3 linked regions of the Rattus norvegicus genome follow. The protein of the gene in region 2 interacts with the protein of the main gene of each other region in a biochemical or structural test. Links are inferred from orthologs where the notes say so. Each region holds a gene or a part of one and is shown on either strand. Other genes may lie near its edges.

The links.
Region 1: the proteins of Tert (region 2) and Cib1 form a complex in vitro, tested with the Homo sapiens proteins (2 studies listed by BioGRID). The link is inferred for Rattus norvegicus from reciprocal best matches to the Homo sapiens genes TERT and CIB1.
Region 3: the proteins of Tert (region 2) and Tpp1 form a complex in vitro, tested with the Homo sapiens proteins (2 studies listed by BioGRID and IntAct). The link is inferred for Rattus norvegicus from reciprocal best matches to the Homo sapiens genes TERT and TPP1.

Annotation. Positions count from the first base shown.
Region 1 is NC_086019.1:143,586,095-143,591,689, reverse strand, and holds the end of Cib1 (calcium and integrin-binding protein 1), read left to right. Parts: intron 1-807; coding exon 808-916; intron 917-2,515; coding exon 2,516-2,666; intron 2,667-2,782; coding exon 2,783-2,901; intron 2,902-2,980; coding exon 2,981-3,069; coding exon of another isoform or gene 3,070-3,127; exon of another isoform or gene 3,128-3,863; coding exon 3,864-3,885; 3' UTR 3,886-4,099; downstream 4,100-5,595. Other genes in the region: Sema4b (semaphorin-4B precursor), read right to left, coding at 5,558-5,595. UniProt on the Homo sapiens protein: Calcium-binding protein that plays a role in the regulation of numerous cellular processes, such as cell differentiation, cell division, cell proliferation, cell migration, thrombosis, angiogenesis, cardiac hypertrophy and apoptosis.
Region 2 is NC_086019.1:31,469,494-31,475,563, reverse strand, and holds part of Tert (telomerase reverse transcriptase), read left to right. Parts: intron 1-374; coding exon 375-460; intron 461-2,497; coding exon 2,498-2,611; intron 2,612-2,874; coding exon 2,875-2,946; intron 2,947-4,381; coding exon 4,382-4,570; intron 4,571-6,070. UniProt on the Homo sapiens protein: Telomerase is a ribonucleoprotein enzyme essential for the replication of chromosome termini in most eukaryotes. Active in progenitor and cancer cells. Inactive, or very low activity, in normal somatic cells.
Region 3 is NC_086019.1:169,508,320-169,514,513, forward strand, and holds the end of Tpp1 (tripeptidyl-peptidase 1 precursor), read right to left. Parts: intron 5,761-6,194; coding exon 5,610-5,760; intron 5,418-5,609; coding exon 5,290-5,417; intron 5,137-5,289; coding exon 4,958-5,136; intron 4,845-4,957; coding exon 4,646-4,844; intron 4,514-4,645; coding exon 4,325-4,513; intron 4,097-4,324; coding exon 4,027-4,096; intron 3,279-4,026; coding exon 3,158-3,278; intron 3,036-3,157; coding exon 2,877-3,035; intron 2,700-2,876; coding exon 2,574-2,699; intron 2,401-2,573; coding exon 2,260-2,400; 3' UTR 1,497-2,259; downstream 1-1,496. UniProt on the Homo sapiens protein: Lysosomal serine protease with tripeptidyl-peptidase I activity. May act as a non-specific lysosomal peptidase which generates tripeptides from the breakdown products produced by lysosomal proteinases. Requires substrates with an unsubstituted N-terminus.

The DNA of each region.
Region 1 (5,595 bases), about 110 Mb from region 2:
CAGAGGGACTACAAAGTTTCCTGCTGGATTGTTACAAAGAATGCCTGATACGGAAAGGGAAAGATGGCTCCAGGACTCCCAAGACCAAGTTCTCAGCATGAGATTTATTTGCCGTAGAGGGACAGAGGACAGGGAATAAGAGACATAGACAGGAGATAGAGGACAGGAAGAAGGGGAAGGGAACAAGGGAGAGGGGCAAGGGGTCAAAGGACTGCCTCTGGATAGAGGAGACAGACGTGGCTCATAGGAAAATGACAATTTATAAAGGTACAAGGGGGAAACCCATGTTAGGATGAGGTGCTGAATTTTTAGTGGGCTTGTTAACTAGGTGAGTCAAAGGAGGCTTGTGATGGCTGGACTTCAGCACTTTGACAGCTGGACCTTGGTAGTCAGTCTCAGGAGGAGGAAGTGGCCAAATGAGGAAATAGATCTTGGGGATTAGCTTTAGGAATGTAGGTTAGTAGCAAGGTAGAAGGAATTGGGCCTTGCAGAGGGAGCAAGGCCGGCCAGAGCTGTGCTCACCAAGCTCCAGCTAGCCAGAGACCCTTCAGATACAGTGTCTGCAGAGACAGGTTAAGTTCTTTGTAAATACCAACCCTAAGAAGGGACTCCAAGCCTCTGCTGTTTTGTGACTTGCCTCTCTTTGGCTAAAGATTGCCCAATGACTGGAAATCCCCAGTATGCGACTTAATTTCACAGCTGGTATGCAGAATGGGGATGTAGTAGATACAGGGAATACTGCTTGAGGACACCAATAATTTCCCCTCTGCCAGTGCCCACACCAATAAGTTCCCCTCTCTCTGCCAGTGCCCACAGACGCTTTTGCGAGTTGCTTCCCCCAGAGCATCGGACCGTGGAAGAGTCACTGCATACCCGAGTATCTTTTGAGCAGATCCTCAGCCTTCCAGAGCTCAAGGTTCAGTCCTCTACCCACTTTATCCACCCACTATCTGCTGCGTTCCCTAAGTCTCCCCTGTGATTGTGAGCACATGCCACCACTCCCTGGGGGTTTTCTTTTGATGATGATGGCGTGTAATTGTGTGGGATGTGGACACATGTAAGTGCTGGTGCTTGTGGAGTACAGAAGGCAAGGAACCCCTGGTGCTGGGGTTATAGGCAGTTGTGCTAGAGACTGAACTAGGGTCCTCTGCGGAAGCGAATGGGCTTTTCATCACCGAGTCATCTCTTCAGCCCACTCTTCCCCTTTAAAAACAGTGGTTCTGAGGATTGAATGCAAGCCTTTATATTTACCGGCTGAGCTAACTGGCCATTTTCTTTTTCTTTTTTTTTTTTTTCCAGAGCTGAGGACTGAACCCAGGGCCTTCCACTTGCTAGGCAAGCGCTCTACCACTGAGCTAAATCCCCAACCCCCATTTTCTTTTTCTGATGTGGGCTTTTACTACATAGCCTTGACTGACCTTGAACTTGCTTCAATCCTCCTTTCCCTACCATGTGAGCACCAGGATTGCTTGCTGTTAATAATAATAATAATAATAATAATAATAATAATAATAATAAAAAAACAACACCAATCATAATTATAGTTGTTGTTTTTTCCAAGACAGGGTTTCTCTGTGTATCCCTAGCTGTCCTGGAACTAGCTTTGTAGACCAGGCTGCCTCAAACTCAAAGATCTGCCTGAGGTTAAAGGCATGTGCCACCATCGCCTGGCTTATAATTGTTATTTTGAGACAGGTTCTCATTGTGGAGCCCTGGATGGCCTGGCTGGAACTTGCTGTGTAAACCGGGCTCTCGTTGAATTCTTAGATCCACCTGCCTTTGCCTCCTCGGTGCTAGAATGAGAACATGCATCATAACACTTGTCTGCGATTCTTCCGAAAAGAGCCTGACTGTAACAAAATAATCCCGAGTTAAGTATATTTAAAAATGACCAGTGGTCCAGCCGAGCAGGTTAGCAGATAAAACACTTGCCTTGGGCCAGGGGGTGGTGGCGGTGCACACCTTCAATCCCAGCACTTGGGAGGCAGAGGCAGGTGATTTCTGAGTTTGAGACCAGCCTGGTCTGTAGATCCAGACTTAGAAGAAAACGAAACACTCGCCTAGTAGTCCTGATGACCTAGGTTTGATCATTGGGACCTATGGCAGGAGAAGGAAATTGTCTATGTAAAGTTGCCCTTGATTTCCCCTCGTGTGTAGTGGCATGTGCTCACATGTAATCAGCTCCTCTTCCAGCTGTGAGTCTACTTGTGTCGTGTCTAGTTAGACTCCCAGGAGCCTCTGTGCCTTCCCTGGCTGGCTTAGTGGCCCTTTAGTGCCCTCCATGTCCTGGTCTCAAAGCCTCCCCTCCAAGCCTGAGCTCCTCAAGTTTCCAGAAGGGAATCAGGTGTGCTGGTGCACACCTGTAATTCAGTATCTGGGAGGTAGAGGCAGGAGGATCAGGAGTTTGAGGCCAGCCTGGGTTTATGAGATCCTTCCTCAAAAGAAGTCTCCAGTTGAGCTGGCTGAGTAACCCAGACCTGGTCCTGTGATGTTCACAGAAGGCATTCTTATGTAGGCCAACCCCTTCAAGGAGCGAATCTGCATGGTCTTCTCCACGTCGCCTACCAGAGACAGCCTGAGCTTTGAGGACTTCCTGGACCTCCTGAGTGTCTTCAGTGACACAGCAACCCCAGACATCAAGTCACACTATGCCTTCCGCATCTTTGGTAAGCACTGTGAAAACTACTGGATCCACTCCTTCCCACACAGGAAGTGAGGGCGGGTGCGTGCCTGGGGACTGCCTCTGAGCATGTCCTTGGTGCTCCCTGTGTCTGCTGCCTAGACTTTGATGATGATGGAACCCTGGACAGAGAAGACCTGAGCCGGCTTGTGAACTGCCTCACGGGAGAGGGCGAGGACACTCGGCTCAGTGCTTCTGAGATGAAGCAGCTCATCGACAATGTGAGCTGAGCTTTTCGCTAGGCTGCGGGTGTTGGGTGGGAAGGGTTGGAGCTGAAGCCTAAAGCCCTCCTTTCCCCAGATCCTGGAAGAGTCGGACATTGACAGGGATGGGACCATCAATCTCTCCGAGTTCCAGCACGTCATCTCTCGCTCACCAGACTTTGCCAGGTGTGACAGGAGCGCCTGCATTCTGAGTACCCATCTATCTACTCTGGGATGGTATTAGAGGGATGGTTCAGGATATTCTTTCAGAGGGGACCCAGCCCACTCCATTTATTTATTTATTTATGTGAGTACACTGTAGCTGTCTTCAGAACACCAGAAGAGGGCATCAGATCTCATTACAGATGGTCGTGAGCTGGGATTTGAACTCAGAACCCCTGGAAGAGCAGTCAGTGCTCTCAACCTTTGAGCCATCTCTCCAGCCCCAGTTTTGTTTTTTTCAGACAGGATTTTATGTTGCTGAGACTGACCTTAAATTCCACCTGCCTCTGCCTCCCCATTACTGATATAGAAGGAATGCACCACCACACCCAGCCTGGGATTTTGGACCTCTGGTTTCCTTTCCTCTACCTGGAATGTCTAGTTTTGTGGTACCAAGAATTGAACAGTTTCAAACCTGTTGTGCAGGCACAACACTGACACCTATGTCCAGCTCCTCAAAGGAATCTTGGCTGTGGTGGTGCAGGTCTGTAATCCCAGCACACAGAAGGCAAAGGCAGACTTGGTGCCTATTCAAGACCAGCTTGGTCTACAGTGAATTCCATACCAGCCAGAACTTGCTTCAGGGGGAAAGAAATGGGTGTGATTAGTCAGGTCTGTACCACCCCTTTCGATCAGAAAACCCCTGCGCTGGGATCTAGCAGTGGTGGAGTGTGCATGTTTAAAAGGTGTCAGGCCCTGGGTTCGATCCCCAGAACCAAACCAAAAGGCCAAAGCCAACTCACTCTTCCCTTGTGCAGCTCCTTTAAGATTGTCCTGTGATGGCTTTCAAGTACCAACATCCTGTCCAAGACCTTTCCACTGCTGAGATGTGGCCAAGGTTATGCCTGCGGTGTCAGGGCCAGAGCCGGCCCAGCCTGGAGAGGGCGCTGCAGAGTCTGGCCCCCTGGCAGGGGAGGACTCTCCCCCTTGTCACTGCTGTTGCCATCACTGTTTTTACTAATTGGTAATAAAGGTTTAGAAATGTTTGACTTCCTTGTATGACAGTAGCAGCAGGACTGGACTTGTAGGAGCCTGTGATCATCCCCACGTCGGAGACACTCAAGTTCATTTCCACATGTGTGGGAACTTACAGAATGGTTCACCAAAGAGAGGTCAGTTTTCCCATATCATCTGAAAACTTAAAACACTAGAGAGTAAAAAAAAAAAAAAATCCTGTCCAGTACCCTGAACTGGGTGCAAAGGAAGGGAATTCATCTTGGTAAGGCCACACTCTACCAGGGAAGAACTCCCAGACAGATAAAACCCGGCGCCAGGCTGGGGAGATAGCTTACTTAGTCAAGTATCTGCCTCACAAGCTTGAGGACCTCAGTCCTTAAGTCCCAATGCTGGGGAGGCAGAGACAGGAGGATCCCTGGGCTTACTAGCTAGCCACTCTATCCTCAGGGTGAATGCTTAATGAGACCCTGTCTGACAAGGCAGTTCCTAAGGATGGTACCTAAGGAGAGCCTCTGGTCTCCACATGTACACACACATGCATTCATGTTACACACACACAAAGCGAAGTTCTTCAAGAGTCTGGGCCACAGTTAACTATAATTTGCTGGACTTTATTTAAAAAAAAAAAGAAAGTAAAGTGCATCTTATTAAAAAAAAAATACAAAACCCATGTAAATTCAGGGTCCTCGTGATGGGCAGTGTCAGTATCCCTTAGAGTGGTGGGCAAGGGCATGGTGAGCTAGGACAGGGAACAGGGAGGATCCAGAAGTCTGTGTTGGAATTAGAAAACAGGGCTGATGAGGTGGGTGGCGACACAGTTCCTCAACTGGGAAAAGGACAGCAGGCAACAGTCTTCTGTCACAACGCCCCCTGGGGTCACTCCCTTGCTTTCCAGGCCACAGCCTGATACAGGCTGGAGAAGTCTGGGAACTGGGACTGAGCCCAGGGTCTGGTGAGGAGGGCTGCAGAGCCAGCCTAGCCCTCTAGTCCCTGAGGTGGTGGGGTGTCAGCGGTCACAGACATGTCCTTGGTTGGCTGAAGCTGGAGCAGGGCCCTGATTCTGCAGTGGCCTCAGCAGCGGAGTAAGGCGGAAGGTAGAATGAATAGTCCAGTGGGGGAGGGATTCCCAACTCCAGCTCACAAAGCCACTTCAGAGAAGTCCCCAAGAGCCCAGCAGGCTGAATTGGAGTGGCTGTGCCGTACAGTCTTCCTTATCTATCTCTCCTTCCTCTCTCTCTGGCTTCACATTTGCAGTTTTAAACAAAGGGCTCAGTTAAGTAGCAGAGTTCTGCCATCCAGACAGGGACCCTCTGGCCCCTGGAGGCAGCCCTTTTCGGCCAGACATTGGAACCGGCTGGCCAGGCTGTTGGTGCTGTGATACCAGCTGCCTCCCAGGCAGGGTACCATGGTTGTGTTCTGTGACAGCAGAGGTAGCTGACCTCCACTGAACATTCACAGCCCCTGAGGTCAGGGTGGCTACATCTAAAGTCAGTTCTCATACCACAGAGTCTCGGATCTCAGAGCCCAGTCGAA
Region 2 (6,070 bases):
TCCCATTACGTCAGAAGCTGTGTTTCCATAAGCCACACACCAGAGATCTCCTCCCACACAAACCAGTGGTTCTATAGAGCCTTCTTTGATACATATTCTACCTGTGGGGCAGCCATGCTCACTGAGACGTTTGGATGATTGCCTCCTGGCTCTTCAGGGGTACTGTGTGAGCTAAGGTTCCAGACCTAGTGCTGTGGGAATGGACAAGTTTACCTCCCTGCTCTGTAAGCTGCATATCCTGTCACACTGAGTCAGGTCCAACCTAGCCATTCAGTGACTCTTAACCCTGGCTCCACGCTGACTTTATCATACACACTCGGTGACGGCCTGGTGCAGCATTCAGCGTCCTCATGCCAGTCTGTCTGCTTTTCTAGAGCATCTCCATGAATGAGACTGGCAGTAGCCTGCTCCACTTCTTCCTGCGCTTTGTCCGTCACAGTGTCGTGAAGATCGATGGCAGGTAGGCCCAGACATGGGGCAAGTGGGCAGAGTGGCGGAGGCAGGACAGGTACAGGTAGGTAGGGGCTACGCTGGCTGCTGAGCAGGGTGCGTGCTGACTGGCCACAGCACCTAGAACTCTCGAGTGACTGCCTCCTCCTCATTCCTCCCTCCCTGCCTTGCCCTTCTGCTGGCTTTTGGGCCACAGAGCTGCCTACCTATGAGACCTTAGGAGCCCCGGGATAAGCAAGAGTCCAGTGAAGTTAATGATTTTGTGTGCCTCGAGCTCATGTTGCCATTTTGTCAGTGTCACCTCACCTGTGCAGCCAGGCATGGGGCACATGGATCACCAAAGAAGAGAGAACAGTGCCCGGGACTGAGTCCGCCCAAGACTACCATGAGTTACAAGCCAGACCAGGCACTCTTTTTTTTTTTTATTCTTTTCCACAAACAATTTGGCTTTATGACAGAGGTGCAGAATGGCTTGGCGTGTGTAGTTCTGTAAACACACATACTGACACAAATGCACCTAGACGCAGTAAAGGGCTTTCGACGATAGAACTCAGAGGCTCGTGTACTGGCTGGTTTTGTGTGTCCACTTGACACAAGCTGCAGTTATCACAGAAAAGGAGCCTTGGTTGTGGAAATGCCTTCATGAGACCCAGCTGTAAGGCATTTTCTCAACTAGTGGTCCTCAAGGTGGGGAGGACCCAGGCCATTGTGGGTGGTGCCATCCCTGGGCTGGTAGTCTTGGATTCTATAAGAGAGCAAGCTGAGCAAGCCAGAACAAGTAAGCCAGTGAGTAACATCCCTCCATGGCCTCTGATCAGCTCCTGCTTCCTGAACCGCTAGAGTTCTAGTCCTGACTTCCTTTGGTGATGAACAGCAATGTGGAAGTGTAAGCTGAATAAACCCTTTCCTCCCCAACTTGCTTCTTGGTCATGTTTGTGCAGGAATAGAAACCCTGACTAAGATACTCTGTAATGTAACATTTACAAAATATGGAACACACTGTAAACTAATTAAGCTTATAACCCATTTTCCAGGAGAAAAAAAGAACAAACAGGTACTCTTTTAAAAAGCACTGCTAGGGTGAAGAGAGCAAAGTCGCTCTGGGCTGGAGCTGCCCACCAGCCCGCAAAGGCCTGTCTGGTGTGTCTGGATCAGATGTGAGGTTGAGTGCTCGAGCAGTTGGTTACACCTTCTGCACCCAAAGTCCTCCCTCACCTGGAGACTGGTACAGTGTACTTGGCTCCTTTTTGCTGAGCTGACAGAAACCCACCATGAGTGCCCATGCAGAACAGAATCCGAGGGTTATTAGAGATGGAGTCAGGCAGGACAAGGAATATCTGATTATCTGAAGTCACAATATGTGTTAGGATGTAATTGGAAATGTTCAATGAGCATGCTGGGACGCTACAAGCATGCAACCGAGTGTCTTTTCACAGCCAAGGGAGCTCCAGAGTCCATCTGTAGTAAGCACAGATTCATGAGTCTATGTCCATGTGCACAGGGCCTCGGAGCTTCCTGACGGTTACTCTCGTAAATGTGAGGGGTGCCTCCCTGGGTGACCTCCTTGTCCTGACCATCTGATAACACCCACCCCTGCCAGCACCTGTGTGTCTGTACCTGCATGTCTGTCAGTTTGGTTCCATTGTGTTCTCTGAGAAGGCACTAACTTTTTTAACACGGCTGTCACCAAGAATATTCCTTCCGTAATAACCTGTTATGAATTGTCCCAGATAAATTTTCCATTCAGGAGGCTGATTGCTTGTCATTCTTGTATAAAATTTAGGAACGCCGTGGAGTCAGTGGGCAGGGCTGTGGTCCGCACCACCCCAGGTTGTAGCGGAAGAGTGGGAAAGGGAAGAGATAAGGGTTATCTTCTTAGGTCTCAGCAGCTGACGGTGGTAGATACCACTGTTGTATATGTGACCTGTGAGCATGCTCACTGAATGGTGTCTGTTTACCCATGCATGCATGGGGAGGGGTGTCAGGTACAGGTGTGAGACCCACCGTGGCTGCTCCTTCTGACCATAACTGTCACCAATACCACCAGGTTCTATGTGCAATGCCAGGGCATCCCCCAGGGCTCCAGCCTGTCCACCCTGCTCTGCAGTCTGTGTTTCGGAGACATGGAGAACAAGCTGTTTGCCGAGGTGCAGCAGGACGGGTAAGTGCTTCCTTTTACTGCTCACAGGGGCTGGGTTGCCGAGTGGGTGTCGCTGTTGCTGTACGCTCAGGTGCCTTCGCTTTGTGAGAAGCCATGAGGCGTACCAGAGCCATCGCTGTTAGGACAGGGAAACTGTCATTCCCTTCTTTTGAAGAATCACTTTGCTTTGCCTCCATGCATTCCTGTACTTATAGTGTTATAGGGTGGCTCACTTGAAGGTGGGCGTTCTGTGAGACCTCTTGGTGTGTCTGTCTTTTTTTTAGCTTGCTTTTACGTTTTGTCGATGACTTTCTGTTGGTGACACCTCACCTGGCCCATGCAAAAGCCTTTCTCAGGTAAGGACCATCATGCCTGGGTTTCTGCTGTGTGATCAAGATAGAAGTATGTATGTACATATATCTGCATAAGATATAAACGTGCTGAGGCAGCAAATTTAACTGGTTAGTAGTTCTGCATGCCTGGAGCTCATATAGTCACCAAAACCTAGTGGCATCTCTACAAAGTGGCAGAGGCACCGCACCTGTGCAGCCAGGCGTGGGACACCTGCAGCACCGAGGGAGAGAGTCTGACACCTGTGACTGGTCTGGCCTGGTCTATCCCCCAAGGTCAACTCACAGCAGCCATCTGGCTCCCCCCGTACCATGAGTGTGGCTACTTGATGTGCTATCCACTGCCTGTGCACTCTATATTCTTGTGACTGGTGAGCCCCTGCAGTAACTCTGTCCTACAGGTGTCCATGGACAACCCCACCTAGCAGCCCCTCCCGGTTGTCCTGATATTCATCCAGGACATCCTGACATTTCCCTGACAAGGTCTTAGGGGCAAAACTGGCTTCTGGAAATTTCCTCAACAGGAGCAGCGTCCTCTGTCCCAGTGGCCACTGCCTATAGGCCATTTAGTTCCTAAGTGCCACAGATGTGGTGGGGCCTTCATTGGGGGTGGCTTACTGACTTTGATAAGGATGACCAATTGGGCTCTGGGACCCTGTACTACAAGTGCATGCAGCCTGCACAGAGCACTGGAAACACCAGTACCTCAGTGGTGACAACTTCTTAGGGCTCAGTTTCATTAACCACTTTCAGTTTCTCATCTCTTGTCAGTAAAGAGAAGCCTACAAGCATCCCAGTGCCTGAGGGACCTCAATGTAAGGTCACTGCTCTGAAGTAAGGCCATAGTACCTGATTCTAGTTTGAGCCACAGAAATTAACTTTACAAGCAGGTGTGCCCGAAACCCTGGGCTAGCGTACATACTGCAAACACAGCCTGGAATACACACTATAACCCACTAGTATGAATATTATGTAAGAAAAAAGACCGCTCCTGATGCAAAAGCCACACCTCAGAACACCAATGTTTATTTAATAAGTCCAACTTCCCGGGAAGGTCTGTCCGCAAGGAAGCAGTCTATTGATTAGTACTTGCTGATAAGGAGAAGCATTGCGCATCGACAAGCATCCCAAAGTAGCTACAAGAAAAGAGGCTTTGGGGGTAGTAGGGAGGGGATGTTTTGCTACGTGATTGCTAAGATCTGACCCACAGAGTCATGGGAAACTTTCCACTTGTCTGAGGCCTGGCTTATAGCCTTATTGCTCCACTGCTTTACAATGAAGACGGGGGCTAGGCTGCAGTCTAGAGCAAGAGTGTCTGGTGTTCCATCACGGTACCCACAAGCATCTGCTCTCTCGCGTCACAGAGCACCTCTGAGAACTTCTGTGGCATGTGCTGGGTGCCTCCAGGCTCCCATAACCGATGTTCCTTCTCTTGTTTCAGCACCCTGGTCCATGGCGTGCCCGAGTATGGCTGCATGATAAACTTGCAGAAGACAGTGGTGAACTTCCCTGTGGAGACCGGCGCCCTGGGAGGTGCAGCCCCGCACCAGCTGCCTGCTCACTGCCTGTTTCCCTGGTGTGGCTTACTGCTGGACACTCGGACTTTGGAAGTATTCTGTGACTACTCAGGGTAAGCACACAGGGGAGTCATGAGGTCATGGGAGCAGACGGTGCTGTGGCTACGACTTTCTGTTTCCTGCTTTTAGACACAAGTGACCGTGAGGCCTGAAGTGATAGAGGCCGAAAGGTGTTTCCCTCCTTTGTGGAGATGGTCACGGCCAATATAAGAACATCTTCAGCCTTGTCCCAAGGCTCCTGCAGACCATGGAGCCAAGATGTTCCTCTATATGAAGTATAAGGGGCGGGGAGGGGGTGGGTGTTGGTCTCCACCTACCAAGAGCTCACAACCCAGATTGTAGCTCAATGTAGATATGACAGATTTGGGATAGGCACAGGTGAAAAGAGTTGGACCATTTCTTCTTATGAGTGAAGAGTATGAAGATTCTGACATTACGGCAGGAGCCTGGCAACCCACCATCTTGACAGCTGTCCATTCTATGCTCAGACTCCCCATCTCCATTGTGTTCTTTGGAGGGTCCCATTCTAAGGGAAGGGTTGGGTGCAGATAAGCCGTCTGTACCGTGCTCTCGCAGGCCTGGGCTCCTCAGCCTCAGTCCATGGGACTCAGTTCAGATTTCTTGACTCCACCCTCTGCCTCCCAGACCCACCTTTGTTGCCCCAGCCCCAGCCTAGTGCTGAGCTCGCCAGTGTACCTGCCCCAGCCCCTGGTACTCTTCAGTGTTACAGAGTCATGGGTAAATCAATCGAAGAAGAATTCCCCTCTGAACATACTGCTAGAGTCTGAAAACCACACACCCTTATAGGAAGCCAGGCGGGCCCTGGACAGGGGCCATTAGCGACCATATGTAGACCATAAGGGCCCTGTTTCCAGAGTCCATGTTAAGTGTGGCTGTGAGCTCAGCCTGAGCTTTTGGTGTGGGTGCATCAGCCGAGCTCAGTATCCTTCTGCCGGAGCCAGGGACAATGCATCTGGAGGTCAGCCAAAGTGGCTAGCAACATCCTAAAGGGAAAACACAGTGATGGGAGTTTCTTCTCCCCAAACCACAGCTTTCATGCAAAGTGTGAAGAGAGCTGACAGCACCGTGGAGTGTCACGGAGTGGGAAACCTCTTCCTCCACCCACACGCACAGGCATGCACCTCACACATGCACAAAAAGTAAGAAACCTGACAGAGGTAACCATACCCGTCACTTGTATTCATCTTTGAGGATGATGCCAAGTCACTGGACAACAAGAAGGCACCACCCCATCATTCTGTCCTGCACGCGTCCATCCGTCGTCCCAGAGTGACCAACTCTGCAGGTGGTTTGACACCGCTGTAGGCACTCCCTTACTGTTTCCTGTCACCAAGATCTGGCTGGAGACAATCCTCCACTCCAGTCATAGCCCTGTGCTGGGAAGGTGCTCTGTCAGGCTGCAGCCACTTAAAGAAGCACAGGGTTTGCGACTTCCTGTAAGATTCACAGTTCTTTCTGAATTTTCACAGCTCTCTTTGCCACCTGTGAGCAAAGATGTCTGGTAATCCCAAGCTCAGATAAAATGGATGTTG
Region 3 (6,194 bases), about 140 Mb from region 2:
GGCAGATTAGGTGTAGACTGGCAGAGGTAAACTGTGAAAGACCTAGCCTCCACCCTGCGGCTCAACCCTGCCCAGATGGGACCGCGAAGAATCCAGGACTGCACACTTCATTTCATCTGGGTGCGCAGATTTGACTTGGGGACTCATATGTCAGATACTTCATTACCAGTCTCCTTAACAGTCTTCATTCTTTGTCGCTCCCTTTCACTGTCTTTAAGGATTTTAGTGGATTTGGTGTGTGTCCCTCCCACCCACAACGGTCCTAGAAGCGTGCTGCTGTAAATGTAGAGATAGGTGTTTCACCCCGAAGAAATAACATGCCAAAGTCACATGTGAAGCACATTAGCAATTCAACAGTCATTTATTTAATTTCTATTTGCCAACTACAGGGTTGGGACCTAGGAATACAAAGTTAAGAATCAGATTCTAGTTCACTAGCACCAAGCTCTGGAAAAGGAAGGCAGACAATTTTAATACTGTATGGTTGTTTCCCAGATACACGTAGGTGGAGTGCAAGGAAGTAGGGAACTAACATCAGCTGCTTAATTCCAAGTGTCAGACATTAGCAATGTTTATTTCCCAATTTTGAAGGCAGGTTTCAATGTCCCTGACTTTTACCCAGTAATCTTTGAAGGGTTTGCACAAATAAATATACTGTTTGGTTTAGAAGATGACTTACCCATGGTCAAGGATGCTGAGGGGCTTTGGAAGGCTCTCCCCTACCCAAGTACTTCCTGCAGTTTAGAGGAAAAAGGACATGGGCTCAAAGATAATGCAGTAGTGTGTGTGTGTGTGTGTGTGTGTGTGTGTGTGTGTGCGTGCGCGCGCGCGCGCGCGCGCGTGCACGCACGTTTGTGTATTTTCGAGACATGGTCTCACGTAGGCCTGGCATGCCTGGAACTCTTTGTATAGACCAGGATGGACTCAGAGAGGCTTGCCTGGTCTCTGCCTCCTAAGTGCTGGGATTAAAGGTGAGCATCACCACGCTAGCTGATAAAGACATATCTGGAGAAGTAGTCAGTAAAACTTGTTGAAGTTAGTAGGGAGGTGAAAAAAAATGAAAATTAAGAGTTACAGGTTTCTGGCTTGTTTGAAAGAGGCATTATATCACAGACTAAGAGATGAAATAGTTTAGGTCTGGGCTGGAGGGAGATGAAGTAATGAGGTATCTTACATTTGAGATGTCAGTGATCTATCAAGGGATGTTAATAAAATATGAGTAAAAACCTACGGATGGAACAATGAACACCAGCATCCCATAATTAGTTGAAAAGGAGGACAGTTAGTGTGGTCAAAGGGGGTATACACTGAGCAAAAAAGGAATGGGAAACTGACGGAAAGAACGAACACCCAGGTTCACAGAAGCTAGATGTTTGTGAATGTCTGACAGTTGAAATTAAAACCTGAATGCTGCTTTGGTGTAGCCAAGAAGGGGAAAATAAAATGTAAATTTACAAATAATTTACAAAAAAAAAAATCACTGAAGCAAAAATTTAAAGCAAAATTTGTAACACCTATTTATTTTGTTGAGGAGCTTTGCCAATAAGAACATTTAAAACATTTAAAATTTTCAAACTTGAACTTTCCTTAGAATAGTTATATAGATTGTCACCAACCTGTTCTTTTTTTTTTTTTTGGTTCTTTTTTTCGGAGCTGGGGACCGAACCCAGGGCCTTGCGCTTCCTAGGCAAGCGCTCTACCACTGAGCTAAATCCCCAACCCATCACCAACCTGTTCTTAAACAAGAAAGCCCATAAAACACTGAGAAGTGTATAACTGGATAGAATGTCAGGGAGACCATTGCACTTCAGTGCCAGGGGAAGAAAGACTAAACGATTAGCACAAAGGTCTCATTTCAGTGAACGAAGAAGCAGCTGGAAGAGAAAGAGCATACGGTCAGTGCAGAGGTGGTAAGCATTAGGTGGGACTGCTGGTGTCAGTAATGCAGACTGAATCTTCTCGCCCTGCTTTCACATCTCAAGCTGGAAAGAGGAAGGAGAGATGGGGTTGGGGTGAGACAAAATGCTGGTTATAGCATCTTGTTGGGGATCTCGAAGTAGAAGTTTGGAGACCTGAGTTTGATGGCTCACAGGGTTGGGAGTCCAGTCCTGCTCACAGCATTTGAGGGTTAGGGAGAAGCTATCTGCAGCAGGCAACAGTTAAGAGTTCATCAGGGCTTCCATTGAGGAATAACGAGAAACTGAGCCTTCCCTTGTAGTACAGGAAACAGTTCTGCTTTCTCGTCAGGGCAGGGAAGGGTCAAGGGTTGAGTAGAGTCTTCAGTAGGGCTGGGAAGTTGGGTGTTCCCCAACCTGTCACAGGATCCCAGCCAGGACCAGAGCAGAAACCCTGACCCTCCACTTCTTCATTCAGACAGGACTCATGGCAGCCATGGGTTACCTGGGAGGAGATGGTGGCATCAGACCTGGGCCTGCTGGTACCAGTACTCCTAGACTGCACCTTATTCATATTCATGTCACGGAGGCAATCCCATATAGTAAAAGCACCCCAAGTCCATGGTAGCCCTTCTCATATCCTATGACAATATCCACCCTCTTTCCTCCAACACTTACATCAAAGAGTCCTGCCCCATGCTGCTGATAGAGCCTGGGATTGAGAAAGCCTAGAGGGGGGCGGCCATTGAGGAGTCTGTGCTCATTTATCAAGGATAAAATTCCCCCAAACACTGGAGTAGAGGCCTGCAAGATGAAGATGCAAAAATAGGTCAGGGTTTTAGCGGGATTAGACTTCTGAGGGATGATGCTTGCAAAGATCAGAAGTCTCTGAGGAGTCAGGGGTTCTGGGTTCAAGATTTTGTAGATGGAGGAGCGAGGGTAGTTCCTGAGTAGAGGGTTTACAGCAAAGCTGATGCTCACCGAGGTTCCAGATACCCACGGAATGGGGACCATGTTGCTGACCACCCAGTAGCCATCAGAAAGCGCGGCAACATCTGGGTAAGCACGGCCACTAGCATTGAAGTAACTAGATGGTGGTAGATGAGAGCTGGACTTCAAGAACTGGGCTACTGCTTCCTCCTGAAGGACATTTCTGAGTGTGAGCGTTGGCCAGAAGTCTGCTCAGCAAGCCGCTGAACTGAGGACAATTCCCCTGACCACCAACCCTCAACCTCCACAAATCCATAGGAATATCCACAAACCTGGTATGAAGGCTGTGGGAAAACATTGCTGAAGCCTCCACCACTGATATAGTCAACTACTTCATTTGTGACAAGGAAAGGATTCTTGAAGGAGGTTCCTCCTACTGTAGTGACATAGGGGCTAAGGAGAAGACAGCATTCAGATAGCGGGTGTACTGGCTGGTTGGTTTTGTGTGATACAAAGATCTAAGTGATGAAGGAGGCTCAATTGAGGAAATGCCTCCATGAGATCCAGCCATAGGGCATTTTCTTAGCGATCAATGAGGGAGGGCCCAGCCCACTGTGGAGAGTGACATCCCTGGGCTGGTGGTCCTGGGTTCTATCAGAAGGCAGGCTGAGCAAGCCATGAGGATCAAGCCGGTAATCTCCATGGCCTCACATCAGCTCCTGTTTCCTGTTTCCAGGTTCCAGCCCTGCTTGAGTTCCTGTCCTGACTTCCTCCAATGATGGATTGTGATCTGGAAGTGTAAGCCAAATAAACCCTTTCCTCCCCAACTTGCTTTTTTTGTCATGGTGTTTCATCACAGCAATAAAACTCTGACTAAGACAATGGGTGATGTCCAAGATGTGTGGAGGTGAGTGGGTACGGTCTGGGTCTTACTGGAAAGGAGAGTAAGACTATGGGAGCCTGTGTACCGACAGACTGGATGCCTTCAAGACATGGCTGGAATTAATTGTATATACTTTTCTGCCTAAAAACCAAACCCTAACAACTAAGGGAACAAAACAACATATTCTGCTGTCACAGCCTGGGATATACAGGAAGAAAAGGGAAGGGAGCACAGGAACCCCAACAGGTAATGCTGAAGGCTGAGCCATAGCAGCTCCTGGTGGCATCAAAGTCACACATGAAAGAGTGGGGTACTTACCTAGAAGCAGGGAAGCTAGGACGGAACTTGTGTCTTCCGGAGACAGACCAACACCCAGCTCCAGTGTCACCTGGGAAAGACATATTAAGTATTCAGATCAGATGGGAAGAGCTTGGGGTGTAGGCTTATATATACCCGAGAAGAAATGTATATGCCACCTCACAGATCTCAGGTCATGTCAGTAGACCCTGCTAAGACTGAGTTCCTATTATGAGTCAGAAACCAGGTTGAAGGGTCAGCTGGGATAAAGCCTGCTGCTTGGTAGGTGGGATGTCTTAATTTTATGGTAGGAGGTTACCTGAGGCAAAAAGGAGGGTGAGACCCCGAGCAGCAGCCTTCATGAACTCAGTGTTGACTCTCTGGATGTAGACACTGCTGAGGGAGTCTTCATCGTCTCCGTAACTCACAGTATGTACATGCGGCAAGGATGACTCATTGCTAAGAAGCAGGAGCCATTGTAAGAAGGGCTCCTGTGCCTCATGGCGGCCTGAATTGTTTTAAAAGAAGGGATAGGAGTGGTCATTGGATGGTTGCCAGCCCATGGCGTCCCCTTGATAAAATGAAGCAGCTATCAGCAGTCTACTCCAACCCATTTTCCCATCCCCCAACTTTGCAATACCAGGGCTACTGTAGACCCAAGTGGAGATATTGGCACCAGCACTCATCAGGTATTCCACATCTAGACTGGCCTCGATGCCCGCTCGGCCTCGCCCCTGCTTTCCAACCACTCTTGCTACTGAGGCCTGGTGTGCAAAACTGCTACCAAACAGGCGCATGAACTCAGTCAGATCCGAGTTATGGAAGTACTGTTCCAGGAACTGTGGAAACATCCAAATCAGGAGTTGTAGATCAGAGAGTGAGGCCCAGGGTAGTGAAGCACTGAAGATATCTTGAAGAGGTTGTGATGACCCCAGGGTTTTGCATGGCTCACCTGGGCACAGGCCTGGCTATTGTTGGTGGTGCCAGAGCCCACATCTCGGGCTGTCAGGTTATATCGCTGACGAAGCACAGATGGAGTCACTCCCAGGTGCAGGCCAACAGGTCCCACTCCTTGTGGCTCTGGACGTTGTCTCGGAGATGATAAAGGGGGGAAACGGTGCAGCCCCGCCACTGTGGAAAGGGTCAGGCTTAAGGAGGTCTCACAGGTACTACCACCCACTTCACTACCGGAAACACTCCATGCCTCCTGTGTTATCTAAACTTCTTCAGCCTGTAGCTCTGCCCCCCCCAACCCCCAACCTCCACCAACCCCATTGGGTTTACCAAAGTCCACATGAGGGGCCAAGGCCTGGGGGAGCTGATAGGGATGTGGGGACCTTATAATGTGGGTCTTTGCAGGTCCCCCTACATAGCGATGAAACTCAGCCCCAGGAAGCAGCAGCTCAGCCTGCCTGGAAGTAAGAAAACAGAAACCATGGAGAGGTGCTGTAGAGCTGGCCGGAGCCCTACTTACCACCCAATCATTATCTCTGTACGCATTAGCAATACCCACAGGCTCTCAGCAAGCTTTAAACTCCCCCATTTGGGGGTATCTTGTCTCCTTGGTGGGAAATGGATTCTATGGGGCAATCATTACTTCTCACCGGACACTCAGCCAGCAAGTCAGAAAGTCCTGGGTGGTCACTGAATGGCAGTCCCGGGCTCCAGCTGCCAAGAGCCACTTTTGGACAGTGCAGAGGGTCAGTGGTGATGGTTGGACCAGCTCAGCTACATCCTCTAGGGTGAGGTACTTTCCTGCAGGGATTCAGAAGGGGATCTTGTCTTCATTTCAGGCTTTCCTGGGTTGTCTGGATGTCAATCAGGAGACATCAAAACTTCCCCAAGTGCTAGGCATATTGGGAGTCCAAGGGAAGAAAGGCTGAAGAGACATGAAATGTCATGGCCAGGAAATATGCACAGCATGTATTGCCCCGGTCACAAAAATTCAAGGAGGTTAATAAACTTTAAATGTCCCATTTTTAAGCTTCTCTTCAAAAAGATTTTCCCAGACTTTCTGAGTCAATTATACAGAACCTTCTAATTTAGCTCAGCTTCATACTTGTTGATTTTAAACAGCATAATGGTGAGTCATTCTTTCCTGCACGTGAGGAGCTTCCTGGGTGATCTGAGGATGCCCCTCCCGCCTCCCACCTCCATTCTGCACACACACACACACACACACACACACA